2 linked regions of the Daphnia pulex genome follow. The protein of the gene in region 1 purifies or fractionates together with the protein of each later gene. This does not show direct contact. Links are inferred from orthologs where the notes say so. Each region holds a gene or a part of one and is shown in the gene's direction. Other genes may lie near its edges. The genes, in order: tRNA (adenine(58)-N(1))-methyltransferase non-catalytic subunit TRM6-like and tRNA (adenine(58)-N(1))-methyltransferase catalytic subunit TRMT61A-like.

Region 1 (16,711 bases):
TTTTACCGGTGGACTACTAGAGGAGGAAGTATTTGCGTCACTATAAATGGTCTGCTTTTCAATTGCTGAAACTGGAAATATATTCGAAGATTCAATTGGTTTTACTTAAACACATTATTTATTAGTAGTAATAGAGATAGATCATGAAAATCTTATTTGATCTGTTAAAACAAAATTGCTTCGAATATTGTTGGTGACTTACTTTGATTGTGGTTGATATTACTGTTTTCTTGCTGGCGGGCTTCCCCAATTACTGGCCGGGCAGAACTACAATCAGTTCGTTTATTTTTCAAATTACGACGCGTTCCCGCCAACTGCAAAAGTTCGATCCCGCGTTTCTCCCGACATCGGTCAGTCTACTATTCTGGCTCTGGTGTCTTTTACTGCATGCCTAAAGAAGTTTAAAGGTAAAATTATTTCAGAGAAAAAAGAAATACCAATGATACACATAATGCACACGAGAAAGCACGAAGATTTAAAGTTAAAGCGAGTCAAATACTTATACCTATCTTATGAATTACAATTTTAATATTAAAACCCAACCGTTCTAGTTTCCGCTTGAACGACTAAACATTTCAGTTGTTCAGCTATTCTGAAATTTGTTTTAATCCAACTCGCTCATCGACAAGTGCAGGACAGTTGCGTTCCGATTATTCCCATTTAGTGCATCTGGTGAAATCGTTCATGCGCGATCCTTTCGACGCGTGGCGCACGTATGCACAACAACAACAACAACACGAGTGAAAAAAAAATGTGTCATTGCGACGTACGGGTTAGACTTGCTGATGAAAGATAAACCTTATCCGGTTACCGGTCTCGTTTTTAAATAGTCTCCTCCCCCAGGGCAATGCAAAGTTGTTACTTGGTTTTACTTTGAAGCACTTTGAATTGGAATATACGAATAAGTGAATTACTGCAACTCAAAGTTGTCCCAATTCCAACCCGAAACTAATACGAATACTTTGAAAATGCGAGAAATGACGACGTGGTTCTAAAAGGTAGAAACACTTGTGAAACATTGTTGAACACATGTGAACTAAATCCGCCCATGGACGTCTTAGTCATCGAGAACTAAACCGAATGGATATTGACGCGAATTCAACAACTTTTTAGGCTCTATAAAATAGCACAGTATGTTCAAAGGACGATCAGACCTGTTTGACTGAGCGTCCGGAAGCATTGCAAAGCTCCAACAGCAGCAATGGCTCTTCAAATGAGATCCATCGCTGTACTAGTCATCGTTCTAGCCTTTTACGCCCATGCAGACAAGACTCTGTATCGTGTATCAGTTCATCCTTGTTTCGGTAAGAACATTTACAAACTTTTAATTTCGCCCTATCTTGATTTTACGTCGGACTGTTCTGAATTTTTCTCTGATGGAGATCGAAATTTAAATACGGCCATATAAAAATGTCGAACAATTTAAGTTTGAATTCTGATAAATATTGAGACGTAATTTTGAATTATTCTTGGTAGGGAATGACATGACCGCCATCGTGCTGGAGGTGCGCGTATCCGACTGCCAAACGCTTCCATGTCAATTGACTCGAGGATCACAAGTAACTGTCGAGTTCGACTTTATTCCAGGTAAATATCGATTCGTGGAGCTAATGAAACGCATTCCTTATTCCTAATTTGTTTCAAGCAACCAACATTAAAAGCGACATCACTACCGGAGCTGCTGTTACCATTGGAGATATCTCGTTGCCAGATCTGGAATCGAAAGAGAGTTTGGCTTGTCCCAGCATTACTAATAAACAGTCCGGATTGGCCGTCGGTTGCAAATTGAATGCCAAAGAGGTTTACACCTACTCCAAAACTACTTCTATCTCAGATAAATACCCAGTGGTACGTTGAAAAATGATTCATTTTTAGGCGATGGACGCTAATTTTTTTCTACATTTTGTTTTACTTGACAGGCTGAAAACGTGAACATTCAGTGGGAACTTTATGATGACGACGACAAAACAATCGTCTGCTTAAATGTACCAGCCAAATTTGTGCGATCGAAATAGTTGAAATCAACTTCATGGCTATAACCCTAGAGGGTTAGTATTTAAAAAATCAGTGGATAGTTGCATTTAGAATCGTAGATGGTAATGGCACTTATTAAACAACAACATAACTAATTTTATCATTTTATAATATCCTGTGGGATTGGATTGGGTTCTATTTAAAACTTTGTCTGTCTGCACCATACTAAACAAAAAGTTCCTATTTGAGTCAATATGTTAGCTTTAACAATGCATTTTTCTAATACACGAAACAAAAAGGTTGTGTGGATGAATTATAGGTAAACAAGACCCTACCCATTCGATAAAAACATATCGGTTCGCTCTAACGCTTATCAACTTTTACATGGCTCGATTCTCTGCAATCAGTTTAGTATTCGGAAAGTTCGCTTAACTAATTCGGTAACATTTAGCTGGTGTTTCTGGAAAACAAACAACTTCGCCAACTCTTAAAGAAAACTACGTTAATTTTGTTTTTCATTAAACCACCTTTTTTCAACATTATCGTTGTCTCGAAGAGGATATAACAGAATAACTATTACAACAACAAAATATATATAGTTCTGAACTTACAAATGGCTAATGCTGGCTGGCGATAATCAGTCAGTAAGCTCAGTAGGCGATCTAGTGCTGAAGAATATCCACGTGGCAGTACTTTTTGTCGTCAAGGTGAGGCCTGAATGAGGAAAGAGAAATAGTCACGTTTGAGAAACGTACATAAAATAAAATACGTCGAATGTATGAAGACGAATGAACACAAGGTCACCTACATACATAAATACAACAAAGTGGAGGTGCAATCAGCTTCACATAAAACATAAAAAGGCTTTATGCTGGTTGTCATCTAGATTCTAGATAGATCATCAGAAATAGTATTTTACACAGGCACATGTCTCGCTTATTATCACAGCTCACATTCAAACATGATCTGCTTTAGGATTTGCCGTCACTTGTAAAACACTTTTTGTTGCTCAAAGTGTTGTCACTTTTCAGTGGCTTTTGACAAAACAAATTCCTTACTTAAATGTAATAAAACTGTCCCATAATTGACCATAAATTTAGCTACATTTGATGGCGTCCAATTAAAGTGAACAAAATTTCCATCAATACTATAGCATTATTAGCCTACCTCGTTCCTCGTTGTTGGCTAAGCCCAAAACTCGCCCAAAATAAAAACGCCGCCAATCAACTGTGCAGATGGTCAAGAATTTTCTCACACATCAACGCTGCAAGTCTCTACTGTTGAAAACGTGATTTAAAAATTCGTAAAGAATAACCTTTTCAGGAGTCAGGACATGCAAAATTGCAAATCGCAAACTTCGATCAAACTGAATTTTCCAATAGCAGACAAACTTAAGTGACAAAACAAGTTTGCCAAATTGCAAATTAAAGCAATCCTAATTTTAAAAAATAATCATTTTTTTTTTTGAATTTTGCTTCACCAAACAATTGTATTTCATGTGTACCATGAATTTAACAGAAAAAAAATATTATCTTGAAGAAAAATAAGCAAACATCTAGAATATGATTGTGAAACATCGGGCCGCATCTTCGACCGAAGACGGGCCCTTTCCTTTGTTGATATCAAAACAAACAAACAGTAATGACTTAGAAATAACTAGAAAATAGAAGAGATCCTTGACAATAGCAAAAATGCCGAAAGAAAGTGGTTGAGTATGCTAGAAAGTAAGGGTAGGCGCGTCGTGATGGTCCAAAATATCTATTGAAACAAAATGAGTATAAATGATAGAAAAATAATTCTATTTGAAGACATTATTAATTAATTACTCCCTTACCGGCAATAATCGAATACCAAGGGACAGTGACGTAAGTAAGAAGCGCGTTAAGAGGCACCGACTGAGCACGTCGTGACTCTTTCAAGTAATGGAAGGTTTGGGTGAATCCTTTCATAGTCCAAAGTGGATTACACACTCCATCGTCCAATTCTAAAAAGAAATCATTGGAATAAAAGAAAAATTAAACACAAGAACTCTCTTCACAAAAACGCTGAAACAGTAATAGTATATGAAACCATCAAAGGGAAAGCAAGACAAAATAAGCTTATGAAAAATAATAATGGCACACCGGTGCGAGGGCCAGCAGGTTCACTGGACCGAGCCGACTGACCGTCACGAAAGTGAACTCGGTTTCCGTCCACCAGCTGCTTGAACGTCGCACCCGTCTTGCGGCCGGGCACGTCCGTTGACTCCGGCTCCTCAGCCAGCATGCCTAGTAGATATAATACAGCCAAAAACGATGCCAATAACAATCAACACAAAAAAGAAAGCGACTGGCATGCGACATAAAATATTTAACGAGCAAAAATACAACCTAACAGAAATGTTTGTTAAATTTAGTTAATACATACGCAGGGTTAAAAAAAAAAACAACATCAAAGTATACCGAGTAAAAAGAAAACTGAACAGTGATTTAAGTGTAGAATCGTGATTCAAGTGTAGATGCACTTACCGTCTCGAACATCACCGGCCTCGATCTCATTCCAAGTATTGTTGCACTTATCAAGACCTTCATTCTCTGAGCGGGACATGTTAGTAGTCCCGTTCATTTGATGACTAGTGTTGGGTCGTTGACAACGGTTGCTGATTGGCATACCTCCACTTGGCTCGCTCAAACGTCTCTAAAGAAACAAGCAATTATTGAGATTTTGATCGATGGCTATAGAAAAGGTTTCTATCAACCTGTCGGGTGTTGGAGCACAAGTCTTCCGGCTCAGAATCCCACTCCGCGTCCCAAAGCTCTGTGGCGCTAAAGCCTGGTTCTGAGCATGGGGTGTCTAACCCAGAACCTGCGAACCAGCAAGAGATTAATAAGATATAAAAATAATATGCTGTGTGATCATCTGAAACAAACTTTTAGGCTTTGTTACGGCCATTTCTGAGTGGCCTTTTCCTTGGGGACCTTTCATGCGAACAAACTCCATGCGATGTGTACTTGCTCCATTCCATAAACCCATCGAAAACTTTTGGGCGACTCTTGTACCTAAACTAGCCTTTAATTTCAACAGAAAAATTTTTGTAAATAAAATAGTATACCGCAAAATTAAAACTAAATTTTTACTCACTCTAGAATCATAGACTTTCTTTAAGGCTTCGTAACGAATAGAGCCCAAGAAAAGGACTCCCTGAGGGACTCCACGTCTGTTGGTGGCAACAAGTTCGACGCAAACCATCTCGCCATCTCTTACGAGCATATCTTCATAAACCTTAATTTAAAGTGGATTAATAAACTGAATGAACTTTGTTGCACCTTAAAAAGTACCTCGTCAAAATTGTCCACCATAAAACAAATGTTGGGATATGTAATTTCTTCTAAATCACCTTTAACGTCCATTCTTCTACGACTAGGTGAGGCATACACCCTCTGTGAAAAATAATCAATAGTGTTATCATACATTTTTATTAAATGCAAATTATCTGGGTCATACTTGACAATGACGCTTCAAAACCTGAAGATCTTTAGGGCTTGTTCTTGTGCAAACTGCCAAGGTTAACATGTAATCAAATTGATGAATGATCAAGTTCAAATATAAAGTCTCCTCCCACGCCACGTCGGGATCTCCAATGGGTAGCTTTTTACTATCGCGACGGAAAACTTCAACTTCAGTCTAAAATTGATGAACACTTTATTAAACAGATGATTACTTTAAATGTGGAATTAATAAGTGATCTGACCTCAAATTTCATTAGAAATCGTGTTGATCCTTTGATTAGCTTTTTTCTTACAAAGAATAAGAGATCATCAGCATCAATACTTTGATCTGATTCAAACAGGAAGTGCCGAACAAACAAATCAGTCCAGTATGGTGTTCCATGAAGGAGCACAAAGTCTGAGTCTAAATAATAGAAAATTAGTTTTAACTTTTAAATTTTTCAACGGAAAATAAATATATGCATTTACCTTCTCTAACATATTTTCTCCGTTCCTTTCTCCTTTGAAAATTGACTTCTTCCAATAGCTGCTCCAAAGCATTAGGAGACCGAGTATTAACAGAGTCTACCATGGAACTCAATTTATCCCAACTAACAGCCATAATGACTGATTGCAAAGAATGTCAGATTTACTGAAGATCTATAATTGGAGCATTGATAATTGTTTGAAATGCTTTCAAATTGATTTGATGGACACCCAAAAGAGAACATGCATTACTGAAGAGCTTAGTAATAATCTAAGAGACAAAATGAGATTGTGACATTTGAGAAAACAAACAGGTTCAATATTTTCTGTCTATTTTGACACAGTTGACATTTGAAGGCAACGTCGAACTATTTATTTTTCAGGAAAGTTTCTAATAACACATACATAGCTGAAAATGAAACGAATATTTTATTCACTTTTAATTGATTTTCGCTTTATTATGTTTGAAAACTTTTAATTAAAAAATTGTATTTTTGATTCAAAAATACAATTGACACCGCTGTGATGTCAAAAATGTGTCGTCTGCTCATTCCAAATAAAATAAAAAAATCACATGGCGCCGATCGCACATGCGTTTTGTAACTACTGATTTAGTCGTTTTCTTTCGAGTTTGATTAAAATCTGATAAAAAGCTACATCTAAACCGTGTTCACTACCTCAACATCTCTGTTCAATCAATAGTTGACTTCTGTTCTCATTGAGTGGTATTGTGACGAAACTGTCAACTGTCTTTACATCTGAAAACGTTGCTGAACTTTTGAATAATGGAATTAGTCCAAAATGATGAATTTGTTATAGTTCAAAGAAAAAGCCAAGTGAGTCTACACCAGCTGCCAAAGAAACAGGGCAAAAAATGGTACGTCACCTTTAAATTACATTTGTAACAAGCTTAACCTAATGAACAATATTTTTCTCGATAAAGGACTGTTAAGATTGGGAGAGATAAAGTCGATATCTCATCTGTGGTGGGAAAACCTCATGGGACTTTCAAGCTTGTACGTGAAAAAGATGGCAAAAACAGTGTGTTTACACTTGAACCATCAGATGAGGTTGTGGAGATGAAAGATAAAATGAAAGACCTCAACTCTGGAGAGAACAATAAAGAAATTTGGGATGATGGCACATCTCAACAACTGAAGAAAGAAGATATTGAAGAATTAAGAGGTCAAGGGTTGACTGGAAGTGAAATAGTCACACAACTAGTTGAAAACAGCAAAACTTTCCAAATCAAGACTGAATTCTCACAGGAAAAGTATCTAAACAAAAAAGAGGAAAAATATTCTGAATGGGTTGACATTCTGAAACCCAATATCAGACACTTGGCTAAACACTTCCATTCCCAAGACCCCATGCAAATATTGTAAGCCTTTCCTTTCCAGTGAAGAATTGGATAATAATTTTATTTAATAATTTTTAGGAATTTACGTCCCGACACCCTTGCGATGATTATGTCCTTAGCCAACATCAAGAGCAACGGCAAGTTTGGTGTTTTTGATGGAGGGTGTCAAGGATTAGTCACAGCTGCTATTCTGGATAGAATTCAAGGGCACGGCACTGTCTGGAACCTGTTCCTAAAAGGAACACCGCAAAAGTAAACTGCAAATCTTTTTGAATTTTCTAAATATTTCAGCCGAGTAATCAACTATGTTGTAAATAGGCGAGTGATCCAAGCGATGAACTTTACTCCGGAGCAGTTGAAGCCCCTGAAGAACTGCAGTCTCTACAAACTGAAAGAAACGCTTGCGAAAGAAGAGAATGCGGATGGAGACGAGGTGCCGGCCAAAATGATAAAATTAGACGAAGATGCTGCGCCACCATTGGAATTCGGGTCACTCGACGGGATGGTAATTGTCTGTCGTCGACCGACCACCATCGCCAAGGAACTGGTGAAACTTTTGGCCCCATCTGGCAATTTTGTGATTTTCAGTCCATACTCCGAGGTAAGACAAAACTTTTGAGATTTAAAATAATGAAGAACTAACAAACTGTATTTCATTCGTTAAGCCACTGAGTGAAACATACATACAATTCCGCGAGTGCAACCTGGCCGTCAATCTGCAACTAACCGAAACCTGGTTCAGGACTCACCAAGTTTTACCGCTTCGAACACATCCCGAAGTGAACATGAGTGGATCCGGCGGATATATCCTTTCTGGAATCAAAGTTGTCTCGTGAAAGTGTCGTTTGTATTTGTTAAAATAAAAGAAGAATCTTCTACTCACCTCTTCATGTTGACTGGGACTTGACTATATACTGCATCTGCAATTCCAAATATTCTGTCTCTAGTTGTGTTGCTTCATTTTTCATCTTGTCAACCTGATAAGTTATGGGACATTTAATCAAAAAACCAAAATAACAGTTTAGAAAATTATGTAATACCTCTTGTTGAACATTGTGTAGATGAGTGGATGCTAAACCAGATGAAACTTCATTGCCCACCAGGAAAGATATATTAGCCGCTTGATTGAGCAATTTTGTGGATTCATTGTAAACATAAAGGCTATCACTTATTTGCTGTTTTTGGTGGAAAATTTCTGACTGTAACTGAGAAATGTGTTCCTCGATTCCCAGCCTTTCGACCATGACAGGGCCAACCTCAATACTAGTTAAGAGGGCTTTTATAGCAGATCCCAGTAATGACACATATATCTGATGGGTGAATTGGAATGTGTGAAACGAACTAGACAAAACCAATATTGAGGAGTCTACAGCACTGTTTGCAGCTTGTTGAAGTTTAAACATGTTGCTGTATTCTTGAGGTTCAGCTACGTTGACTTTAGTTTTCACTTCATCTTCCTGATTCTCATCATCGTTGAAAGTAACGACAAAACCGCTAGCCAAACTGAAATTTAGAACGTGCTGCAAAGGTCTAAATAGCCGGGTACTTCTGCGACATCGATTTGATCTGACTAAGAATTGGGCTGTTCGAGCTACCAGATGTTTAAAAGCTAGCATGGCAATTTCACACAAGAATGCGTTTACAACTATTGGTAACACGGAAAACAAATTGAACTAAACCCACTAAACCTTTAACAACGAAAAGAGAAATAAACTTAACAGCCAAACCATGCCGCCTTGTGCCTTGACGAAAATACTGCAGAGTGCAGACCATGGTGTAGACGATGTTTACAAAACTGTAGTGCCATCTAGCTACCGATAATAACAAATAAAATATATTTTTTTTCATTATTTTTTAAATTTCATTTTACGAACAGAAAAAGAAATTGAATAACAACTGATTAGATTCGATTACGTTAAAGAGAAATCAAAATTTCTTTTGATCCCTTCCGAATGTATTTCAAAATTTTCAACAGCCATTGAAGCAGGTGATTTGTGTTTGGAATGAAAGGTAAAAGCAGCACATAAATTGTTGCCGACATTCCAATAAATCGAATATAAATTAAAATCGCATACCACTTAAATATGTACATAGGGTACCGTGGGAAGAGAATCAAAGTTAACAATAATAACATCCGTCATTTGAGTGTGGGGCTGCTGTTGTTGTTAAGTAAGAATTCTTATAAAAGTTGACAAAAGAAAAAGTTATAAACCAAACACCCTGGACGGCCATACTCCCCCATGCACTTAATGTCCTTATTTTGTGCACCATAACCGATGCACCGAAAAAATGTTTCTTTTTTTGTTCATCAAATGATTAATTTTGTCGAAGAATTTTGCCGAGATAATAAATAGCCGGGATGGGTTATAAAATAAATAATCAAATTGTTGTTGTTGTTGTTGTTAAGGACAGGTTGTTTTAGTTCTTGATGAGGCGACTGGCCAAGTTGAGGAGAGCCGGAACAGCTGAGCCATCGCTACGGGCCGGGCACTTGGGGTAGAGCTCGTGGCATTCCTTTCCACGGCGTCCGTTACGGGCAGCATCCACCAAAGAATCGTAACGCTGTGCGTCCTTACCGCCCAAGGCGTAACCGGCCATTGAACTTTTCACGGAAGAATAGACACAGAGAAAGAAAAGAAAACGGGAAATCAATTACAATTCCATGTCTGTGGTTTTTCTCCTTGAATGAATAATGAACAGATTAAATCATACCTGGCCAACTGCATGGCAATCTCTCCGGGCTTGCCGAAGCGTTGCTTAACCTTGACATTCAACTCGCAGAGCATGACCTGTTGGCAGTGGGGATGATCAGAGTCCTCGCTGAGCATGTAGCGAAGAGTCAGTGGGGCCATCATTGAGGAAGTCTCGTACAATACGCCTGGAACTCCCTTCATTCTCTTCCAAACACCGGAAAATCGGCCAGGATTGCTGTTGGAATCCATATCTCCATCACGACCATCCTCCTCAGACCAGTCCTCCTAATTAATTTTAATTTGAAACATTTTAAAATTGGGAAAAAATAAGGAATAACTTAAAAGTTTTTTAGAAATGTTTATAGTACCTGGAGGGCGTTGAAGAAATTCATCATGGTCAACATGGCCAGGACGGGAAGAGGAACGGGACTGTTGGCAAGGGATCTGCTGGTAAAAGGATCTTCATCCCTGAAAGATAAATGCAATCAAAATTTAGTTTAAAAAAGAAATAATAAAATTTAAAAAAAATCAAAAATTCAAACTCACTCTGGGATTTCTTCGTAGTGTTCTTCGTGTTGATATTGCTGGTCGTTGGCCATGACTGTGGTGGCAGCAACAGCGGCAAGGGAACCCAAAACTGCGAGTTTCATTTTCTTTTTTAAGTTTCTAAAGAATTTTCTATGATTCAAATTTCAAGTTTTCCTTGCTTTCTTCTTGTGTTGTGCACGGTAGAACGTTCAAGAGTCAACTGATCCTCTGAGCTGCGAGTGCTCGTCTTTTTTAGCTGGAGGACGAAACCCCACCGTCTGCCGTTGAGTGCACCCATCCAACAGGTAGAGACTATGAATAGGTGAAACACCTCTGCATCCGCACCGACTGTGTACCTCCAGGGCCGTCAGACAGCAGCCACGATAAGCCGTTATTCTTCTTCGCCATATCTTTCCTCGTCTTCTTTTTGAGCTCAGTACACCCGGAACAGATGTGGAGCCGGGCAAAGCTAAGAAAATTGCACCAAACCCTGGCGGGGGAAAAGCCAATAATTTTCTTTTCCATTTAAAGATATACTACCTTATTTCTTCTTTAGATAAGACAAAGAGATAGAAACGGATCGTTGAGCTCGATGATTGATGTGTGTGTGGGGGGAGAAGTTCTGGTCAATAAATTTTTATGTGGTGCGAATATTCCATTTCATGGATTTTTCACGCAGGTAAAACGAAACGGAGAGTTCGTTGACAGTTGATATAACACGCCTTGACTTTGAAATTCTTTCTTCGTAATAGGAGAGACTCGTATAACTTGATGCCCTTAACCTTGGGACAACTTGAAATTTCATATAGGAGCCTAAGATAAATAAAAAAAGGATCAATAAGCTCATTGTAAAAATTTTAATACTGGCAGACGACTTAACTCTTTTTTTGCTGTATCCATTCAAGGCGCCGGATTATAGTTGAGAAAGATGATGATGGCATATCTCTTGTAGGTCACAGCAATAGGGATATTTTTTGTGCAGCATCATTCCCAGAAGAATTTCGTTAAGAAATATAGTAGCGGATTGCACAAGATCGTGAGCGTCACAAACTTGTTTGTCCTCATTTTGTTTTTGTCTTATTTCACCGTTTCTTCGGTTTAGATCGAGGACTCGAAAAAATAGTTAAACTGTTTTCCAGATGTGTTTTTTCCCGAAGGTACTATACAAAGAAATAAAAAACCGTAACTTGAGAACATTTTTTTTTTCAATTTGACATGAATTGTAGCAACATTTTCTCTCTAAAGAACGTATTGAACGTTTTAGTTATATTTTCTCCGTGTATCAGAATCAGAAAGCCATTGAAGAGGGAAATACACAGAGTTCGCTGACCATAACGGGTTTTATTCATCCTAAACTTCGTATGTCGTGTTCTACTCGAATTGTTCTCAAAATGGTTTATAATGTGGTTGTTGTACTCTCTAGCCGGGGGTTTGGTTTTTCTCGTTCATTTTTTTGTTGTTTGCGTTCAATTTTGTTATTTTGAGGCTTTTTTTGGAACGGCCATCTGTCGTTCGTGCACAAAAAAATATCAGAGAAATGTAAGCCCATCATGTGTTCAATGCCCTTTTGCTGATGCAGGTCCAATGAAAACAATCAGACCTGCATCGAACCAGTTGATTTGTGATTGATGCCTATAGTTGAACCCCCCGTTTTAAAACTGAATGAATTGGAATTGCATCATGCTTTCGTAACAAAACCCCCCAAAAGCACAAGTAGAGTAAGTTAACAATCTTCACAGCAGGAATTTCATAAAGGAACACGAGAGGGACAGGAGAAAGAATAAGAAAGGTGGAGGGGGGAGGAATAACCAAGTCGGACTAACGGTACTTTTCTTTCTTAACAGACAGGTACTCGATGGAAAAAAAGAACGAGTGTATACCTGGGAGAATATCCTCTCCTTTAGCCAAGTCATAGCGACGGTCATTTCCGCGTTCCTCCTTATTCTCACCACAAGAAAACCCAACCAAAATAAAACCTGAGGGGTTTATACACAGAGGTTATTCACCTTCAATCTCTTCAGGTGTGTTTCTGTTTGGTTCGTCTGTTATTATCGTGTATACCCCAAGTGGTTAATACCAATTCCAACAGATGTCACTTAGTTCAGAGTCAATTTTCTCCGTCATTAAACAAAATAAAATTCTGATAGAAAAATACCACAAAATTCTTTGGCAGCTCACTGCTATCGATTATGTGCAAAAATAAAAGACGTTGAAATTCTTTTCGAAATAATTTATGTCTTTTTTTTCGTTAAACCATCACAAAAGCATCAAAGAGGAATTATTTAATTTTATAAAGACAACAAGAAATTTTCTTCATTGGTTTTTAATAGTCTCACATATAATTAAAAAGCGGTTCCAGCCCGCTGGATCAAATCAAATTCAGATCAAATTCTTCTTCACATTTTGGAGGTTTTTGTTTTTGTTTTAAATTAGGGAATTATTAGAGCGGGTTTTATCATTTGTGTTGTTGTTGTTGGGAGGATAAAAATTGAAAAAAAAAAAAACGGAGTATAAAGTTTCAATCAATCAAATATTGTTTCGTTGTTTAGAGCTCATTGCACTGGGAGTAGATCTGAGCGCAGCTTTCGCCAGTACGTCCCTGTCGGCCAGCCTGGGTGTAAGCATCCAATGGGGTGAAGGTAGATTTTTCCAACAAGTAGCTGGCAGCATAACTATAAATTCATTGAAATAAATTAGATTTAAATTTTGTTTTTAAGCATCAAATTTGTTTAAAAATATGAACTTACGTTCCGAGCTGGCAGAAAAGGTAGCCGGAATCGGGAGCGTCACGAGCGCAAGCGTTATTGGCATCGCACATGATGCGTTGCATGCAAACCTCATCGGTGGTTTTGTGGGTATCGACGTATCCCTATTGAATCAAATCAATTTTTAAACAAAAATGTTTCAAATTAATTTTAATCGAATTTACCTTCATGATTGTGACGGCAGCGACAGCAGCATCAGAGAATGGGTCCTTGCTTCCGAGGGATCGGGCAGTGGAACTGCGTTGAGAGAAGCTAACTTTAAGGGCATCCATCAAGCTGGAAATGAGCTGGATCAACTATTTAAAAACAAAAATAAATTATTAGATAAAAAAAATGAATTCCAAATTTAAAAAAATTGGCAAATGTCAAATCGCGCAAAAGTCATTCGTGTGTATGATAGGAGAATAAGGTTTTTTTTTTAAGGGATAGATTCAGTCAAGTAGTCCAAAGGATATGTCACGTCATTTAGTTTTTTGTCATTTGGGTTTTTGTTGTTTCAGACACTTACGTTGCCGGCTTGTTTGGCCAATGAGGCGACATCGGCCTTTTCTTGACCACCCAAGAAGCTGGCCATCAGAGGCAACAGCATACCCTACATAAATTGTGATTGGTTGACATTTTTTTGGTTGGTTTGTTTTTATCACACAGAATTTCTTTTTGGTGTCATTAATTTTTGCTGGTGGTGCAACGTGATGGGCAAAATTATAATCGGGTCAGTCGGTTTTTAATTGGTACCAAATTTGTGTGTGTCGTAGTAGTGTCGAAGAATGTGAAACCAAAAAAGCCTTCCCTTCCCACCCAATTTCAAAAGCCACCAGAGTTGAGTTAAGTTTGAGAAAAAGGCAAAGAAGAATTGAATCGATAACGATTACAAGGTTGGTAATTTTTAAAGTGTGGTGTGTGTGTAAAGAGCGGCTTTAAAAGATGATAGTGGAGAGATATACCTGAGAGAGAGAAGCCGCAGCAGAACCGGATTGGGAATCGGCTTTGTCGAGTCCCCCTGCAACTCCCGAGCCGCCGTTATTCAAAGTGGAGAGCATCAGACGAAGGCCCAAGTTCACCAGGCTCATCCAGTTGAAGCCACCCTGATTTTTTTTTTTTTTTTTGTTTTATATTGTTCGTACGCGAGGAAAAAGAGAAAGAGAAAATTGTTGGGGGGAAAAATGAGCGAAAAAATAGGAAAAAGAAATGAAAAATTCAGTAAGTAAAGTAAAGAGTGTGCGGCTGTCTGGATTTTTCTTGTAACGTTTTCAAATCAAAATCACTTAAAAAAAGGAATTTTCTTTTTGTAAAGATAAGCCAAGGATTGTGTGAGAGAGAAAGAGAGATGAAGAAAGAGCCAGAAAAGCTATAAAATGGAATCATTTTGGTGCTGCTTTCAGACTTGAAATAATAAAGATATTCGCTAATCCGGAGTCGGTCTGATTTCAGGAAATTTTAAAAAATAAAATAAGAACCCAAAACAAAGTCTGGGAGAGAATCTGTAAAGCCCACACTAATCCCCTGAAAATTGGTTGGTTTGTCCTTGGATTTTTAATTGTGTACCTGAGCTGCGTTGACTCCAGAGTCTGCCTTGTCAATTCCGCCGGAAGAGCCACCCAAAAACATCTGGATGAGCATGCCCAAAATGTTGCTCCATTGGAATCCGCCATTGCTCTGCTGTTCGGTCGGCTGCATAAATCAATTCAGATCTTCATCAATCTTGTTTAAATAACTGTAAATTTAAATTGTATGTACCGCAATTTCGTTGGATTCGGTAATCACTTTTTTGTTCGAGTTGGGTTTAACGGCGAATTTCCTGCCTGTAAATGAACAAAAGGAATATTTAATGAAATCAACTTGATGATAATTTATTTTAAGAAAATATTTACCTTGTTCAGCGAATTTGTTGAACATCTGAGGAAGAGCCAAAGCCGGAAGTGCCAGCTGGAGGACAATTAGAGCAACCAGGCAGCATCCTAAATTTTGACGACCCATTGTGATATTTACCTATAGAAAAAGATTCGATTCGGTTATTAAATTTCACATTTTTTTGCGGTTAGAAGTCATTGACTGTTGAATATGCCAATTCATGAAATAAAGATACAAGAATATCCGACAGTCATGCCGCACACTTCCGAGTTCGTCGAATTTTTCCTTCCGTAACGGGCAAGAACCGGAAAAAACCGAGTTGCAGCGAACAGGTGCGACGAAAAAATAATACGTCAGATTGTTGTGGGAGGATTGCAGTAGAAATACCCTCGGCCTTTTTATTAATTTTCCTCGTGTTCGTTGTACCGGAAATTTTACAATGTACCAAAGGCGGAATCGGTTCCCGTTATTTTTGGTGTAGCACTTCACGGTGGAGTTGACACAGATATTCTTCTGAATTGTTATTCGCCCCCCTTTGGGCTTTCTTCTCGTTTGGGGGAGGGATGCAAACGCCATGCCCTCTTTTCTCTTTGTGTCATGTGGCCCCGAATAAGTAGCCCAAACTCCCAATTTCCTCATTTTCTCTTCCCTCAAGACATCTATTGAAAATGCTGAACCCAAACTATCGTTAAACTCCATAACTACTCGAGCGACGAGGATAAACAAACGAAAACTAAACACCAAAAGGGACAAAGGTTAGCGACCCATTCGTTCATTTAAATCGGAAACTGTAAATACGGACGAAATAACTTGCGAGTTTGTTATTATAATTTTACCGTTAAATGGGAAAACGACATTCCTGGATTTTGTTTGCAACTTCTACGACTAAAAAGTGGGAAATTTCGTATAGAATCTGTAAAAATTTGAGGAATTTATGTGAGTTGATTTGTTCTTACCTTTTACTAATCAAAGATCAAATTCAGAATTCAATTCACGGAGCTGCAGAGTAGACGCCTTGGGTTGAGGTTGGTAAGTGAACGCTGGCCAAGACTTTACTCGGTCGTTTTTATATGCCGAGGAAAAAAGGCAACAGCAAGCCCAGCAAGTGGAGAAGGTTCTTTTCTTGAAGAACAAGTCACGTGACTATCTCAAACTCCGCCCACCCAAACGGCAACCCCATTTTCTTTGGAAAGATAACAATATAGTGAGGTTAAAGTCGTTTTCTGTTAGTTTCATCTTCTTACTTTGGTATTATAGCGGGAGACTATATAGAAATTTTGTCCGTCTTGTTTTGGGTTTTCCTTCCACGTGTTTCTTTCTCACGCTTTTACATCTATAACACCAACCTATATCGTAAAATAACGACATGGCCGGCTCTAGTTCATTAGTGTCGCGCGGTAACTTTTGAAGCAAAAATCAGCCAACTGCAAACGAGTGTGAAAATTTAAAGCCAATCAATTAGGACAATTCGTTACTTGGAGGCAACAAATGCAGACGGTTAGTAGCCACACCTTGGGCAGAGATCCCTGGATGAAGATTTATACGGTATATATTTACCTGGCCAAATTTAGAAGAACAGGTTTTTTG
Region 2 (16,480 bases), about 9.2 Mb from region 1:
CTCTAACATACGAAACGAAGGATTTTAAGAGAATTGAGATTAAATCTCACGAACCTTTTTTAAATAATTCTTATATATTATCGCTTTTACCAGGGAGAAAACTCGCTCCCCCTCCACCGTTTCCGTTTATAGGGCTGTTCGACATCTTTTTTAACATTTGTTGCCATCGTGGCAACGCAGCAACTCATGTATTTTTGTCTGCTACGAGTGACTTGTTTATTCTGTGAAATTTGAAAGTTTGTATTCAGATTAAAACAATCACAAAATTTTAAATTATCTAATTGATAGGTATTCTGAATAATGAATACTAAAAAAGGTTCAGTGAGTAGATGGTGCAAAGTGTCAAATTGCCGTAACCTGAAAAGTGAAGTGTAAAACTGTATAGTTTACCAAAGGAGGGTATAAGACGAGACTTGTGGTTGGAGAGAATGAATTACATCATCCACACCAACTTGAAAAATATCTATGTGTGTTCGGATCACTTTGTTACAGGTATTTATAGGTTAATACTAACAATTATTGATTATTATCTTACAATTTGTGAAATGCTTACAGGAAAGCCGAGTGGAGAATTCCACAAAAAACATGTTGATTGGGAACCCTCTATAAATGTGGGATCAAATAAGACGAAACAATTTCTAGGTATTGCATTATTCATTTTATGTGTAAAAAAACATTCCTATATGTTGTTTTAATGAATGAACTATTTTGTCATTACAGATGGTGATCATCAAGTACGTAACAATGTTGCTTTTGACAAGGCTGATACACCTCCATTGATAGATGTTGAAACTGCAACTGAAGATACCTCAAACAGTTTCGATGAAGATGTTGCATTAATTGGAGATACACTTCTAATAAGTGATTCTCATCCAATCCCATCCTTGAACGATGTAACAACAAGTACGGAAACTTTTGACATGACTTCAACTGCCGATGATGAAACTATCATAACGGTTGAAACCACCTTTGATGCATTGCGTAAGTAATGTTTTAAAATGTTATTTTGTAATTAATGAAAGTAATTTTTTGGTTCATTACTTATAATTTTCAGCTGCATTAAATAATTCAAGTCAATCCATCAGGGACGTCGAATTTACTTCCGGTGATTCATCACTAACAACTTCAGTTGATCAAGTAACAGAATTAATGTTGCAACTTACTGTTTTAAAAGAAAAACTATTTCTTACTGAAGAAAAACTCGTGTATGCTAATGAAATGATCTGAGCTTCAGGGAAATTTAATTACGTCACGTGACAGAATAGCAATTCTGTCACGGGTCTGTTGCGCTCTTTACAATTCGTGTTCATCTGTTGTACCCTTACTGTAGTGTGTTTAGGTGAATAATTTTCGTAATAAACCACAAATTTTCAATAAATACTTGATGTATTAACCTTGGTTAACAGGGGCACAAACAGATTACCATTTTCTTCGTAATAATTTAATCAAACACAACATTTTCACAAATGGAGATTTTCTTTTTTACAAAGGAAGGTACACAAATTGTATCTTTTCACTCACTAGGGCCTACTGATTGAGGTTATATTGGAAAGTGCTGTTCTCTGAACTTGACTGTTACTAGGAACGACCGGTAAGTTATTTTTCTTTGCTTTTGCCGCTGCGGCACGAGCAGCTTTCTTGCAAGTGTCACACTTCCAAAGCTTTGTTATTCTTTTTGGGGGATTAGTTTGCGACTTGATGCCCGATTCGTGGAATGTTTTTCTCTTGAAATTGTTGTCTACACAAATAACTTTCCCAAATAACGTGTTTTGGCCTCAATACTAAGTCCACTGGCATAATTAGACAGTGACATTACACTAGACAGTTAAACACTAACACTATAACGAACTAATGTATAAAGAAAACACATCACAACTTCAAAACAACCCCCTTTTCTATCACTATTTTTCAAAAAAATTCATATTTCGCAGAACAAACACAAGTCACTCGTAGCAGACAAAAATACATGAGTTGCTGCGTTGCCACGATGGCAACAAATGTTAAAAAAGATGTCGAACAGCCCTATACAAAATACCGAATCCGAATCCATGCTGCAACGTGACAAATATATATACGTGGCACCCTTGCTGGAGTTGATGACAAGACACGTCAAAAACAGCTGGTCTAAAACTGATTGTGTATTCCTTCTAGTGATGTGTGGCTTTTTCTAATAGGAATATTATTGCAAACGTGTACATTTTTTCACCCACGAGTTCGAGTGCTGTTTGTACTTACTTATGAAATAATAATGTATCATTTGTGCACGTGAAAATCATGCGTATCCTTTCCGGGGATCTCAGCAAAATGTTTATTGTTAAAGGTTTGGAAAAGATTCTCGCCGACAAAGAAGTCAAACGAAGCCACTTGGCTCAATTAAGGAAAGCTTGTGAAACAGCACTAGGTAAGTTTTAAATAATGAATTAACTTGAACCCAAATTAATTTTGTTTTACACTACCAGAGGATATACAAGAGGAACTGAAACATGAAGAAAATGAAAAGAGCTCAAATAGCACCTCTGCTGCTCTTCCACTTCCACGAAATTACTCTGCAAATGTAATCAATGCAGAAAAACATTACCTTCCGTTTGAACTAGCTTGCCAGTGCTCAGTTCCAAGGGTTGTTGTAATTGCATTAGATTGCTTACAGGTAAAATGCATTGCTAACTTTGTATGATTGTAAGACTATATTTTTCATCTTTATTCAGAAACTCATTGCTTATGGCCATTTAAGTGGAACATCACTTGATCCACATAATCCACAGCGGCGTCTCATAGACAGGGTGGTTGCAACCATATGCGCATGTTTCACTGGAACACCTACTGAAGAAAGTGTTCAGTTGCAAATCATTAAAGTAAAAAGCTATTCCAATGTTGAATGTCTGATTCTCTATTAATTTTAATTTTTTGTGTGCAGGCCTTATTAACTGTAGTCACATCTCAGCATGTGGAAATCCATGAAGGGACTCTACTTCTGGCAGTTCGAACTTGTTACAATATCTATCTGGCCAGCAAAAATCTGATTAATCAGACAACTGCTAAAGCAACATTGACACAAATGTTGAATGTTATTTTTATGAGAATGGAAAATCAGGCTGTGAGTTTCTACAATTGATTTCATTTGATGGATTGATTAGATTGTTTTGTTTTTTTGTTTTTGTTTATTTTTAGATTGAAGAAGAAGCAGCCTTCCCAAATCAGGAAAACAATCTGGAACAAGCCGAAGTTGGAGAAACTAAACTAGAAGCTATCGAAATAGTTTCTTCAATTGTTGACGACATCGTTGCAACAGCCGTCAACGGTTTGATACATTTTAAAAATAATCATTAAGTTTATTACATATTGGTAATTCAACTTTTATATTAGATGCCAGCGCTGAAAAAGAAGTTGAAGGAGACACGCAAAGCGAAGGAGGTCAGAGCAACGGAGGAGCTCCTCCATCTATTATTTCAGTGTGTTCATCATCGCTGCCCCGAGTGCCCTCGCAAGACAGTGTTGACACTATTGGTGGCACTAGTTCCAGTGGTGGAGACTTAGAACCGATTGGGACGTCCAATAGCTTCTCGCACGTTTTGCAAAAAGACGCATATCTTGTATTTCGTTCACTTTGTCGGCTGGCCATGAAACCTCTGCCCGACGGCATTCCAGATCCGAAGTATGTATCTGTAAACCTGGTTATTCATTTTGGGATATTCTACTAGTACGTTTTTTGTTTGTTTTTAGATCTCATGAGCTGCGGTCCAAACTTTTGTCTCTACAACTTCTCTTATCAGTGGTGCAAAATGCCGGCCCAGTTTTTCGCGAGCATCCTGTTTTTCTATCTGTAGTCCGGCAGTGCCTGTGCGTAGCACTCAGTCGCGACGGAGCCTCTAGCGTAACCGAAGTAGCTGAGCTTTCCCTAGCTCTCTTTCTCGCATTATTGAACAACTTTAAGGCACAACTTAAAAAACAAATTGAAGTACGTAGCTCATCTGATTATTTTTGTGCAAGTTTAATTTATTTGTGTTTCTTGATTTGATTTTAGGTGTTTTTCCGGGAGATCTTTCTCAACATTCTAGAAAATCCTGGTTCGACTTTTGACCACCACTGGCTAGTTATGCAAGCTTTAACGCGTATCTGTGCCGACGCTCAGAGTGTGGTAGACCTGTATGTCAATTATGACTGCGATTTGTCTGCTGCCAACATCTTTGAGCGCTTAGTTAATGTACTGTCGAAGATCGCTCAAGGGCGGCATGTTGTAGACCTAAGGACGACGCCAATTCAAGAAAAGGCTTTACGGATAAAAGGCCTCGAGTGCCTTGTGACAATTTTGAAGTGTATGGTTGAATGGAGTCGTGAGCTGTATGTCAATCCTAATGCGCAATCTAACATTGGTTCGTCTTTTACAACAAGTATTTCAAAAAATCATTATCGTTATAACGTACTTTCTTACACAGACGCCGAGAAAATAAAAGAAAACCACACAGATGAAAATGAAAGCCAAAATTACGTCAACGGCACTATGACAACTCCAAAACAATTTGAAGCCATCAAGCAGCAAAAGGAAATATGGGAACAGGGGATCGTGCTGTAAATCTCTCGTCCTTCTTATTTGAAATGAATTTTTGTAATGCCGATGTTTCCTTTACAGGTTTAATCGGAAATCTAGGAGAGGCTTGCAATACTTGCAGTCGCAGAAGCTTCTTGGGGAAGAAGCAGTTGACGTGGCGCGTTTTCTAGTGACGGAGGAACGACTGGATAAAACAGTAGTCGGCGACTTTCTTGGAGAACCCGACAAGTTTAATAAGGAGGTTATGTACGCCTACGTTGATTTACTGGATTTCAACGAAAAAGATTTCGTTAGTGCCCTGCGTCACTTTCTGGAGGGTTTTCGACTACCCGGTGAAGCCCAAAAAATTGACAGGCTTATGGAAAAGTTTGCTGCTCGTTATTGTGAATGCAATTCAAGGTTTCTTAACTCATGATATTTTTTTATGTGATGTTGAGTATACAATTTATTTTGATTTTTTGTTATCAGTCTTAGACTATTCGCCAGTGCTGATGCTCCCTACGTTCTGGCATATTCAATCATCATGCTAACGACAGATCTTCATTCCCCACAAGTCAAGAACAAGATGACTAAGGAACAGTTCATTAAGAACAATCGTGGCATCAACGATTCAAAGGTGTTTCGTAGCGTAACATTATTTTACATTCCCGTCATCACTGTCTTGTTGATAATAATTTAGGATCTGCCTGAAGAGTATCTTAGTCAGATTTACGATGAGATCGCTGGAAACGAGATCAAAATGAAGGCTCATGCGTCCAACGCTTTAGGCAACAAAGTTAGCAAGTCAGGTATTACTCAGTAAATAAGAATTCAATTAGTAGGGATTACTTTTAGTAATTAATTAGCAGGGACAGCGAATGAAAAGAAACGTCGTCTTTTGTGGAACATGGAAATGGAAGCTTTGTCTTCGACTGCACGCCAATTAATGGAGTCTGTCAGTCACGTTCATTCGCCCTTTACATCAGCTACGCACTCGGAGCATGTTCGACCCATGTTCAAAGTTGCATGGACACCTTTTCTAGCCTCTTTCAGTGTAGGACTACAAGATTGCGATGATCTGGAAGTGTCAACTCTGTGTCTGGATGGTATTCGCTGTGCCATCCGCATAGCCTGCATCTTTCATATGGCTCTTGAACGAGATGCTTTCATTCAAGCCTTGGCCCGCTTTACTCTATTGACTGCCAACTCTCCGATCACTGAGATAAAAACTAAAAACATAGATACGATCAAGACTCTCATAACAGTCGCCCATACTGATGGAAATTACCTGGGACACTCGTGGCTTGACATCCTTAAATGTATTAGCCAATTGGAGTTGGCTCAGCTGATAGGCACTGGAGTTCGACCGCAATTTATTACTGGAACTCCGACTACACCAACAGGTGCCAATTTAGCTGGTAAAAATATTTTGGCTTTTTTTTATATGTGGCTTACTGTTTGTCTTGTCCCGTATATGTGGCCTAAGTTTGTTTTTTGTTTCTGTTCTTTGTCAAGGCAACAATTTGAATTTGAATTTGGGCGCCATGAATTTGAATTTGAACTTACCAGGTATCTCTTCTTCGGGTAATAATCTACATCTGTCTGATCTGCCAAGCGTCAGTATAAACTCCCTCGAACGTAAGCATTTCATAAAAAAACATTCCCCTAAAATATTTCATATATCTATTTCTGAATGCAGCTAGTGTCAAAGAGTCCATTGGGGAAACTATTTCTCAGAGCGTGGTGGTAGCAGTGGATCGGATCTTCACTGGTTCTACCCGGTTGGACGGAAATGCTATTGTCGATTTTGTCCGCGCTTTATGCCAGGTAATTATTATTGACAGTTTCTGAGCCTCCGGTATGAATTTTGTGATATTTCAATCACCTTTTTTTTAACAGATCTCACTTGAAGAGTTGGCCCATTCTACGCAGCCGCGCATGTTCAGTTTGCAGAAAATTGTTGAAATCTCCTATTACAATATGGGACGTATTCGTTTGCAATGGTCGCGTATTTGGGAGGTTTTGGGCGACCACTTTAACAAAGTGGGAACGAGTAGTAACGAGAACATCGCTTTCTTCGCAGTCGATTCACTTCGACAACTTGCAATGAAATTCATTGAAAAGGGAGAACTGGCAAATTTTCGATTCCAAAAAGATTTTCTCAGGCCATTTGAGCACATCATGAAACGCAATCGATCACCCACAATTCGCGATATGGTGGTTCGTTGTGTCACCCAAATGGTTCATAGCCAATCAGATAATATCAAATCAGGATGGAAGAACATATTTTGTGTCTTTCTACTAGGTAATTGTATGATAGAAATGTTCATATTTTAAGAATCAATTCATACTCTTTTGTTCCGAAATCTTACAGCCGCATCCGACAACGACGAAGCAATTGTGGAGCTGGCTTTTCAAACAATAAATAAAATTGTAACAGAACTTTACGTAACTAACATGGCGGCAATGATCGATAGCTTCCAGGTAATTATACTATCATAATAATGCCACTGGAAAGTCTGTATTAATCTTGGATATACGATAGGATTGCGTCAAGTGCCTAAGCGAGTTCGCCTGCAATCCACTTTTCCCGGATACTAACATGGAGGCTATCCGTTTGATAAGGCTGTGCGGTCGGCATGTTGCCGACCAACCAGCTCTGTTTCGCGATGGGGGTAAATGAAAAAAAAATGCACTGAAAGTTTACTTGACTTAACAACATATTAAACTATCTGTGTGTTTTTTAAAGGTGCCCAATTGGCAGACGACATGGTCAACAGCCAATTAACTTCAGCTGTGACCAACTTGGGATTAATTCCCGAGGAAGAACGCCTATGGGTCCGTGGTTGGTTTCCCATTCTGTTTGAGTTGAGCTGCATCATCGGACGTTGCAAACTAGACGTGCGTACTCGCGCTCTAACTGTTCTCTTCGAAATGGCTAAACAATACGGTTCAACGTTCCGGTCACATTGGTGGAAGGATTTATTTAAAGTTATCTTTCGAATCTTCAACCAATCGAAATTGCCGGATCAGTTGTCTGAAAAATCTGACTGGCTTACTACTACATGTAACCACGCACTCTACGCCATGGTCGATGTTATCACGCAATATTTTGATTTGATCGGTTCATTGCTTATTGATGATTTTATCGCTCAGCTGTTGTGGTAAGCTTTTAATAGCATAAGCTCATAGTATTTTTATAGAATACATGTTACATTTTTGGTGCAGGTGCGTGACCCAGGAAAATGAGCAACTAGCGCGCTCAGGTGTCAATTGCTTGGAAAACCTGGTGATTAGTAACGGACCCAAGCTGGGTGATGCTTCTTGGTTACGAATCTGTGGTTGTGTTGATGACATATTCCATTTAACATTACCTGATGCCCTATTGACGTGGAGCCCTCACTCGGCGCCAGCTGAAACGGATAGTGGAGTCAAAGATACACAGCGACTCTTCAATGGTCTTTTAGTTCAGTGTCAAGTCCAGTTGGAGCTGATCCATACCATTGACAACATCGTTTTTTTCCCTTCTACGACTCGCAAAGAAGATGCGGATTTGCTCGCCTCTGCCAAAAGCATTTCGGCTAGCCAAAGAGACCTTGATCTCGGTATTACGTGATATTTTTGTTTTGTTTTTCTACAATCTTTGTATTTATACAACGTTTTGTTTCTATTTATTTTTATAGATCAAGGAATGTTTCAGTTCATGTCTACAGAGCACCTGTTGCTGATGGTCGATTGCTTAGCAAAGTCGCATAATTTTGCTCGCCAGTTCAACACCAACTCGACGCAGAGGAATGTATTATGGAAGGCAGGATTCCGAGGACCTGTCCGACCAAACTTGCTGAAACAGGAAACGCAAAGTCTTGCTTGCGCCATGCGCATCCTCTTCCGCCTTTACCACGACGAAGGGCGACAAAACGAATGGGGAAAGGTAGCTGATAAACTGACACATTTGGGTAAGGACGCCCTCGAGTACTACGTTACTCTTGAGACCGAGAGCCATCGTGATGCATGGTCACCTCTTATGCTCCTTTTCCTGTGGAAGATAAATCAACTGACTGACGAAAAGGTAACAGTTAAATTTAATTATCAAGGGTTGTTATTAATTAATGTGTGTATATTTTTCTTTAGTTTAAAACGCACGTCAGTTGGTGGCATCAGCTTCTGTGTGAGTTGGTGTCTTTCGAGTTAAAACCGGAATTGCGGTCATTGCTTAGAAAGATTTTTCTCAAAGTCGGTCAAGTATTCCGAGTCATTGCCGCCGCTCCATGAATATTTATCTATTAGGTGTTGTTTAGTACTTTGAAAATTTATACCCCTAGTTGCTCCCTCATATGTAAACCTCCAGTTCCCGTATCGAGTGATCACTTCACCGTCCTTGATAAAGAAATAAAAAGAATTTGAAGTTTACTAGATCGTTATATTTTCTTACTGACACTCAGAAGTTACACAACTTTTAAAACAAACGATATTAGAATAGAAGATAATACAAAAACTAGATTTATTTTTTAAACCTAACGTCGTAAACATCGAATGAAATGAACGATTATGACATAATAAGCCCAGACTCCATTCCGTGTTTTAAAGTTTAGATTTTTTTATACTAGCTGTTTTTTTTTTGTTTTTTTTTTGCTATATTTTATTATTTTCCACCGCATTTTAAGTGTCGCGCCATGGTCGCGCCAAGTTTGCATTTCCCTTACTCCAGTCCATCTGGTGCCCAAGAAGTAAAACTTCATGTCAGTATCCCAATACACGTGTTTGGATGTTTCTTGAAGAAAAATTGAAATACAAACACATTTTTTAGTTAGGAAAGGTAAAGAATAAGATCATTTAGAAAATGAGCTTCGCCAACACCAAATGTGTAGTTGAAGAGGGGGACACTGTTATTATTTATGTAAATCCACAAGCTATGTATGCTTTACAAGTTAAACCCCTAATTGCTACTAAAAAAGGCGATATGGTTGAAAACATTTTTCAAACTGCATATGGTGCCTTAAAAGTTCAGGAACTTGTAGGGAAAAAGTTCGGACATAAAGTGCAATTTTCTCGTGGTTGGGGTTATCTTCTTCATCCAACACCTGAACTGTGGACATTAAACCTTAAACATCGGACTCAAATCCTTTACACACCTGATATAAGCTTGATTGTAATGCAACTGGATTTAAAAGCTGGCTCGGTTATTGTTGAATCAGGTATTATGTGCAATTTTTCATTGAAATTTTTAATTGAATGAATAAGTATCCCAATAATTTTATCAAAACATTTTATCAATCATAGGAACTGGAAGTGGATCTCTCTCTCATGCTATCTTAAGAGCTATTGCACCCACTGGTCATTTGCATACTTTTGATTTCCATCAACAGAGAGTTGAGATTGTGACACAGGAATTTTCAGATCATGGATGGGAACCATTTGTTACTGCCAAACAGAGAGATGCCTGCAAGGATGGTTTTGACTTGGAAAATGTAGCTGATGCAGTCTTTTTAGACCTTCCAAATCCATGGCTTGCAATTCCTCATGCTGTCAAGGCTTTGAAAAAATCAGGTTTATTTTCCATTTGATTTTGCTTGTCATGATGTATGTAATCATCCTTTATGATTTCCAGGAGGAAGAATCTGTACCTTCTCCCCATGTATTGAGCAAACTCAAAAGACATGTGAAGGTTTGCTGGCTGAAGGATTCAAATATATTGAGACAATGGAATGCCTCCAGAGAGAGTACCAAGTAAAAAACATCACCTTACCTGAGATTGATGACTACAATTTCTCCTTTTGTAATACCCCAGAAACGGTATTTATAATTAGCTCGTGTAAAATGTGTGAGTACCTAACTTATGGTGTATTTTTTGAACAGAACTGTGAAGGTAATCAGAAAAAAGATGATCGCAAATTTAGAGCGGTACTTCCAGCTTTACAAATGGCAGGACACACCGGTTATCTTACTTTTGCTACGTGGCCGCGTCAGTCAGAAAAGTGCCAGACATGATGAACTTGTATTAAAAGATTGTTGTGTAAAGTTATTAATCATCTCTGAAAATACATCATCAATCAATATTCAACCTTACAAAAGACATCAATATACTTTACTTACTCCAATTGCATTTGGGTTTTTATTCCAATTGTAATCAAAACAACTAGTACTGAATGACCTTTCTTCAATTATTGACATGTACATTTAAAACCATTTCAGGTTTCTCTATTATCCGAAATTCAGTCCCTATGTTGTCAGCAAAAATTTTACATGGTGGTGGAGTGATAATTGCCAGCAAATATTGTGAATCTAATACTAAAAAAGAAAAATATGAAAATTCTCTTCCTTCAACATCGCTGTTCTTTTATTATTATCTATACACTAACTCCACCTTACAGATGGCTATACAGATGTTCTGGTATCTCAGACAGGTCCATCCTCAGGCACTGCCAGCAATAAATTTAGACAAGAAATCATTGGGTTTTGGATTGATGGGTGTCCTGAAGTAGTTCATAACATGTCCTTTTTGCTTCCACCGCTTCACAGTTTCAACAAGTTCCATTTGGCCCTTTACAACCAACATATCAATAACTCTTACATCCTTAGCATGTCGGTGTTTCTCAAATTCTTCCCTCAGCTTAGCGCGACATTGGGCTTCATTCTTCGGAATATCGTACTCCAAAACTGCGAAATTTACAGGGTTTTAGTCAAATGGTATAATTTGTTGCAATAGAATTGACGAATTTGTTAATAGATCATTTACCTATGTATGGGACTTGACGATACCAGGCCTTATACAAATTAAGGACCCGTTTGCGAGCTTCGGCATTGTCGACAGATAGCAGTGGTCTCACTTGTTTAACTCCAGATTTAATAACTGTTCCAGCAGTTGAAGCCATTTTGATAATAGAACAGAAATGTTGTGATCTAAAGGAGTGAAGGTGGTTTCTAAACAGTAACCAAATTTGTTTCATGTCAAATGCTGCCGAATTAAAATTTAAATAATTAAAATTTACTAGTGCCCAGAATTACATGTATATATTTATTTTTGAACTTTTAAAATAATAAAATTTATTCGATTTCGTCCCGTTATTTCAATCAGTTGTGTACATTGCAACGTTGGTTACAAAACCATGCGGCTTCAAAAATACGAAACATAACAAACAGGATAAATTTGTGGACACAATGTCGAATCTGAATCAGACGAGTGAATTAAATGCAAATTTTCAACATATTTTCGAGTCTTTGATGTTTGAAGACATTAAAACCACAAGTGGTAATTTCAACCCAAGCCAGAAAGCTGACATACAACGGAAAATTGCAGCCCAGCTCTATTATTCAACAAACTCTGGAGATATGTATGTTTATTTATCTCAGAATATTGGTTATATTTGGTTACCTAATTAATTTTTTATTTGGTTACCTAATTAATTTTTAAAAAATACTTATAGTGATGAAGATCCTGCAGTTTCTTTGACTCTGTATAACTCATACATCCACAAATACTTCCAGATTGTGGATGAACAGGACCTTTCTAGAGGATTAGACAGTTATTCAAAAGGTGCTTTGGCACTTGCAAGCTCTTTTAAAAATGGTAAATCTAAGATTTTAGTTTCCAAGCTTATACTAAATTTTTTAAGTAAACATCTCAGAGAGTAAACAATGGAGTCTAAAAGATCTTCGTAACACAAGTATCTTCCAGACACTTGAAAATGACTTGAGTAAAACTGAAGGAACAATGAAGAATATTCAAGAATTTGAGAAAACACTAGAATTTTCAGTACAACTTGAAAAAAATAAGAATGAAGAGGAAAAATCCACTCAACTACAGGTTACTAAACTAAAGCCATGTGAACCAGAATTTAAATCCAATTCAACACAGAAACCTCCAATAGTTTATCCGCAAGTGAAATGTTTTAATGTGTCTGAAAGAAGAGCTGAGGATGTTACAGCAAAGAAAAATTCAACTATAAATCCCCAGATCAGGTACCCTGTGAAATCTGAAGTAAAGGTTGATGAGACAGTTAAACCTAATATTCCATTCCGTACAGCCAAAGAACAATTAGTAAGTTTACTGACATACACTTACATAATTTAAATTACTAATGAAAACCAATTCAAAACTATTCTCAAAGATTTTTGATCAAAAGAAAAAAAATGCGGGAGGAACTAATAATTCGACTTCGAATGCGCCTTCCTATGGTTGCCGTCCCAAGTCTCTTGGCCAACGTCGTGGTTTAAATAGCCCTTTCATTCTTCCTATTAAAGATGCCAAATCAAACGAGGGCGAAAACAACGGTGTAGACAAGAAAAAAATTGGGAATAATGATGAACAAGAAAAAGTTGTTGGTAAAGCTTGTGTTTTTAAAAAACTGTTTTATTATTTAAACTAGAAGTTAACTAGATACTATTCACAGACGAAAGGTTGAAAAATATTGAACCACGGATGGTAGAGCTAATTGAGAATGAAATCATGGATAATGGATCGCCAGTGAATTGGGACGATATAGCCGGTCTAGAATTCGCCAAGAAAACTATCCAGGAAATTGTTGTTTGGCCAATGTTGCGACCAGATATTTTCACTGGTCTTAGAGGTCCTCCCAGAGGTAAGTTTTTTTATGTATTCCCTTTTCTACTTGACATTTATTTTGCTTGGCAGCTTTTAAAGAGTATGTAAACTGCAGGTATTTTATTGTTCGGGCCACCTGGTACAGGGAAAACCTTAATCGGTACGTTAATTCACTTATTTAGAGACAAATAGATAGATCTAAAAATTCGGTAATTAACAGGTAAATGCATTGCCAGTCAATCCCGATCAACATTTTTCAGTATCAGCGCATCTTCATTGACATCCAAATGGATTGGTGAGGGAGAAAAAATGGTCCGAGCACTATTTGCGGTTGCAAGGTTATCGAAACAAATTTTAAGTCATAATTCAGATTATTTAACTGAAATTTTTTTAGAGTGAATCAACCCTCGGTAATCTTCATTGATGAAATCGATTCTTTACTATCGCAGCGGTCTGAATCGGAACACGAAAGTTCGCGCAGAATCAAAACGGAATTCCTCGTCCAACTGGTATATTTCCCTGCCAATATTTTCATTATAGGCTGAAGTGATACACAACATTTTTATAATTAAAGGATGGAGCAACGACGAGCCAGGAAGATCGTCTCTTAGTAGTTGGTGCAACAAATCGACCGCAGGAGTTAGACGAAGCTGCCCGGCGCCGATTAGTTAAACGATTATAGTATGGATTCGAAGAATGTTGCTCTTTCGTTGTTACCCTAGTTTCTTTAATTTAATCTTGTTTTAAATAGTATACCCTTGCCCGAATTCACAGCCAGAAAACAAATTATTCATCTTTTAATGGCCGAGCAGCGTCATGTTCTGGGCGAAGATGAGATTGCTGATATTTGCAATCGCACTGATGGCTATTCCTGTGCAGATATGACCCACTTGTGCAAAGAAGCTGCTTATGGACCTATTCGTTCCATTGCTCTGGGTGATATTGAGCACATATCTCCTGACCAGGTTTGTTATTACGGTTGTAAATGTGTGTGTTTAACGTAGCAATTTTGTAAAAGGAAAATAATACGTATTTAAGGTTCGCCCTATAACCAACGAAGATTTCGACGCAGCCTTATGTCAGGTTCGTGCTAGCGTGTCCAGTCAAGATTTAGACCTTTACGAAGACTGGAACAGGCGTTACGGCAGTGCAGCGAAATAAAATATTTCCTTCCTCGTGTTTAATAAACCAATAAAAAAGATTAAATATGATTTCGTCCATTACTATGCCACACTGTCTCTGGAAGGGATTTTTCTATCTTCCAGTTTCCTCCTTTTCGCGCAATCTAATTAAATTTATCCTCTTTCGCGTTCTAATACCTCGTCTTCTACGTTCTCATCCGTGTTCTTCATCTTTTCCGTCTCTTTTTGTGTATTTATAATCAACTTTGGAATATATAATTGAATAGTAATTTTTCTAGTAGATACTCGATACATTTTTTCAGATAAACAGCGACATCTACAATGTTGATTGCTACCTAGATAAAACATTTGTTTACTAAGACATCAAAATCAAGTGTTTCTGTTTTTAGGCTCGTGCAAACAGAACTCAACTTCTTTCAGTACTAAATAGAGAGCTAAACAGATGGGTCAGTGAATTGATCTTCATCTTTCGGTCCGTTATCAGCTATCCTGCTAGAAGTGCGAAGCCCAAATTCCTCCCAGCGAACGCTTGAATCCGGCAGAAGATCAACGCGCCGAATTCGACGATCAGGACCCCAACAGCAGTTGCGTAATTCCAAATGACGCCAAGGTCGATTGATCACCAACATAATTTTGTGATTTTTAAATTCATAAAGGAATCGTTCGACTTGCTCCGATGCACTTGGGGTTACGACCAAGACTTGCCCAATGTAGGGATAGCGAGCAGTCAATTGGCGGTAGACGGTCGTTAAATCAGCCGGATAGCGATTGAAAATAATTATATTGTTACAGAGTGTTTCCAACGGAGACCCACCTGCACCGGTCCACGAATCGTCATCCGGCAACAGTCCGTAGTTGCTGAAACTTTGCAAAAGTGTAAGGGGTCGCGAGTATTGCAGAACCAATTGGTCAATCAAAGCGTGCTCCTCCATCCAATAGTGTTTATCAAAAACGACAACCGTTCCAGGACAAGTTTCGTCCTCCCAACTGAGAATCAGCTGAACAAGTTGTTCATTGTGCTGAAATGACGGCCTTAACAACGATAGTATAAACAAAGAAAAGATGAACGATTTAAAACCCATCTTGTCACTATGACATTGACCAACCAAATGAAACTTGACAAATCTCTAGCGATACGCGTCGAACTCGGAATGAAACATGATTAATCCTTGCGCATGCGATGCAAACAGTACAACAACCTTGAAACTATACACCCAACAGCAATACCCGAATAGTATAACACATTGTAGAGTTTTGATTTGATGCATTTCCATGGTAACCAGGATTACTTACATATTGATAGAATAACCTATATCACTGTTGCTATGGCCAGAGTATTATTGTCGTCGAAATTGGATCAAGTGAGAAACAAGTCAATACTCACTGTTGCTAGACCACAGCAGCGATCTGGCAGCGATAGCTGAAACTTGACATTTAAACAAAGAAACTGGTTTAAATCCATAAATATTATACTTATACGCCTGAAAAAATAATACATGGCAATCAATAACGTGGGACGTAGTATTCGTATTTTGGAGCGGCAGCAGTCGTGGTGGTATCAGGTGGTATATACTGGATGAGGGGTGTATGTCAATAAACTTTATCGTATTGCGGTAATTATTCACGACATAAGAATCGTAAGCCTCTTTGGACGGATAGGGCACAGCATCCATTTGCCTTCTCATACGGTGTCTATCCACGCTTCGTCTCATCATATGCCTTTCTTTGTTTGATGGAACTAAGTTCATTTGATGTTCACCATGGCCTTGACCACCGCGTTCATCCTGGATACTCCTTTGATTAAATTGCGACACGGGTAGCGAAGCCCCATTACTTGTCTGAGGAGAGGGAAAGCCCATCTGATATAAAAAAATTTAAATAAAAACATGCAAAAACAAATAGTAAAATATCCCTCTTTCTCACCATTGGAGATGGAGCTGGTGAATTCATTGGAGAATTAATGCGTGGAGCGATTGGAGGATCTGGTTGAGGTGGTTGCTGATTAAGTCCCATCATCTGTTGGGCCATTTGCTGTTTAGGATGCGGAATAGAAATGGTTGGAGGAAGCGGTACAGGATTCAATAATAGTTTCGGAGGCGACTTCGGAGATCGGAGGTGAATGTCGAATGTCACAACTGAAAGAGTTAATTCCACTTCGGATAATTCAACTGTTGAAGAAATCAAAATTTTGAAGAAGCGACAAGAAAAACAAGTACTTTAAATTCCAACAGGTGCCTTTATCAGTTTTCCAGCCTCTGCCAGAGATCTTGG

What was found.
Region 2: the proteins of tRNA (adenine(58)-N(1))-methyltransferase non-catalytic subunit TRM6-like (region 1) and tRNA (adenine(58)-N(1))-methyltransferase catalytic subunit TRMT61A-like purify together in Homo sapiens (affinity purification with mass spectrometry; 4 studies listed by BioGRID and IntAct, counting the BioPlex papers as one, with this or other methods). This does not show direct contact. The link is inferred for Daphnia pulex from reciprocal best matches to the Homo sapiens genes TRMT6 and TRMT61A.

What each region holds. Positions count from the first base shown.
Region 1 is NC_060026.1:1,159,934-1,176,644, forward strand, and holds tRNA (adenine(58)-N(1))-methyltransferase non-catalytic subunit TRM6-like, read left to right. Parts: upstream 1-6,662; 5' UTR 6,663-6,712; coding exon 6,713-6,804; intron 6,805-6,870; coding exon 6,871-7,308; intron 7,309-7,365; coding exon 7,366-7,539; intron 7,540-7,605; coding exon 7,606-7,888; intron 7,889-7,915; exon of another isoform or gene 7,916-7,952; coding exon 7,953-8,123; 3' UTR 8,124-8,169; downstream 8,170-16,711. Other genes in the region: NPC intracellular cholesterol transporter 2-like, read left to right, coding at 1,202-1,304, 1,477-1,587, 1,646-1,848, 1,920-2,015; uncharacterized protein KIAA0930-like, read right to left, coding at 3,692-3,732, 3,809-3,958, 4,098-4,241, 4,482-4,650, 4,712-4,818, 4,884-5,022, 5,095-5,235, 5,292-5,393 and 3 more; uncharacterized protein LOC124204685, read right to left, coding at 8,175-8,264, 8,328-8,903; uncharacterized protein LOC124204686, read right to left, coding at 9,706-9,889, 10,000-10,265, 10,349-10,448, 10,527-10,630; uncharacterized protein LOC124204684, read right to left, coding at 13,054-13,180, 13,256-13,377, 13,438-13,569, 13,782-13,865, 14,218-14,358, 14,819-14,944, 15,011-15,075, 15,145-15,250. UniProt on the Homo sapiens protein: Substrate-binding subunit of tRNA (adenine-N(1)-)-methyltransferase, which catalyzes the formation of N(1)-methyladenine at position 58 (m1A58) in initiator methionyl-tRNA.
Region 2 is NC_060026.1:10,310,116-10,326,595, reverse strand, and holds tRNA (adenine(58)-N(1))-methyltransferase catalytic subunit TRMT61A-like, read left to right. Parts: upstream 1-9,235; 5' UTR 9,236-9,365; coding exon 9,366-9,720; intron 9,721-9,805; coding exon 9,806-10,072; intron 10,073-10,133; coding exon 10,134-10,318; intron 10,319-10,381; coding exon 10,382-10,513; 3' UTR 10,514-10,591; downstream 10,592-16,480. Other genes in the region: uncharacterized protein LOC124204991, read left to right, coding at 429-492, 556-642, 721-981, 1,055-1,227; brefeldin A-inhibited guanine nucleotide-exchange protein 2-like, read left to right, coding at 2,275-2,401, 2,460-2,647, 2,706-2,852, 2,915-3,094, 3,169-3,298, 3,364-3,652, 3,721-3,955, 4,022-4,566 and 13 more; NADH dehydrogenase [ubiquinone] 1 alpha subcomplex subunit 6-like, read right to left, coding at 10,938-11,182, 11,262-11,397; fidgetin-like protein 1, read left to right, coding at 11,684-11,856, 11,950-12,092, 12,151-12,563, 12,634-12,847, 12,916-13,104, 13,183-13,227, 13,288-13,405, 13,462-13,576 and 3 more. UniProt on the Homo sapiens protein: Catalytic subunit of tRNA (adenine-N(1)-)-methyltransferase, which catalyzes the formation of N(1)-methyladenine at position 58 (m1A58) in initiator methionyl-tRNA.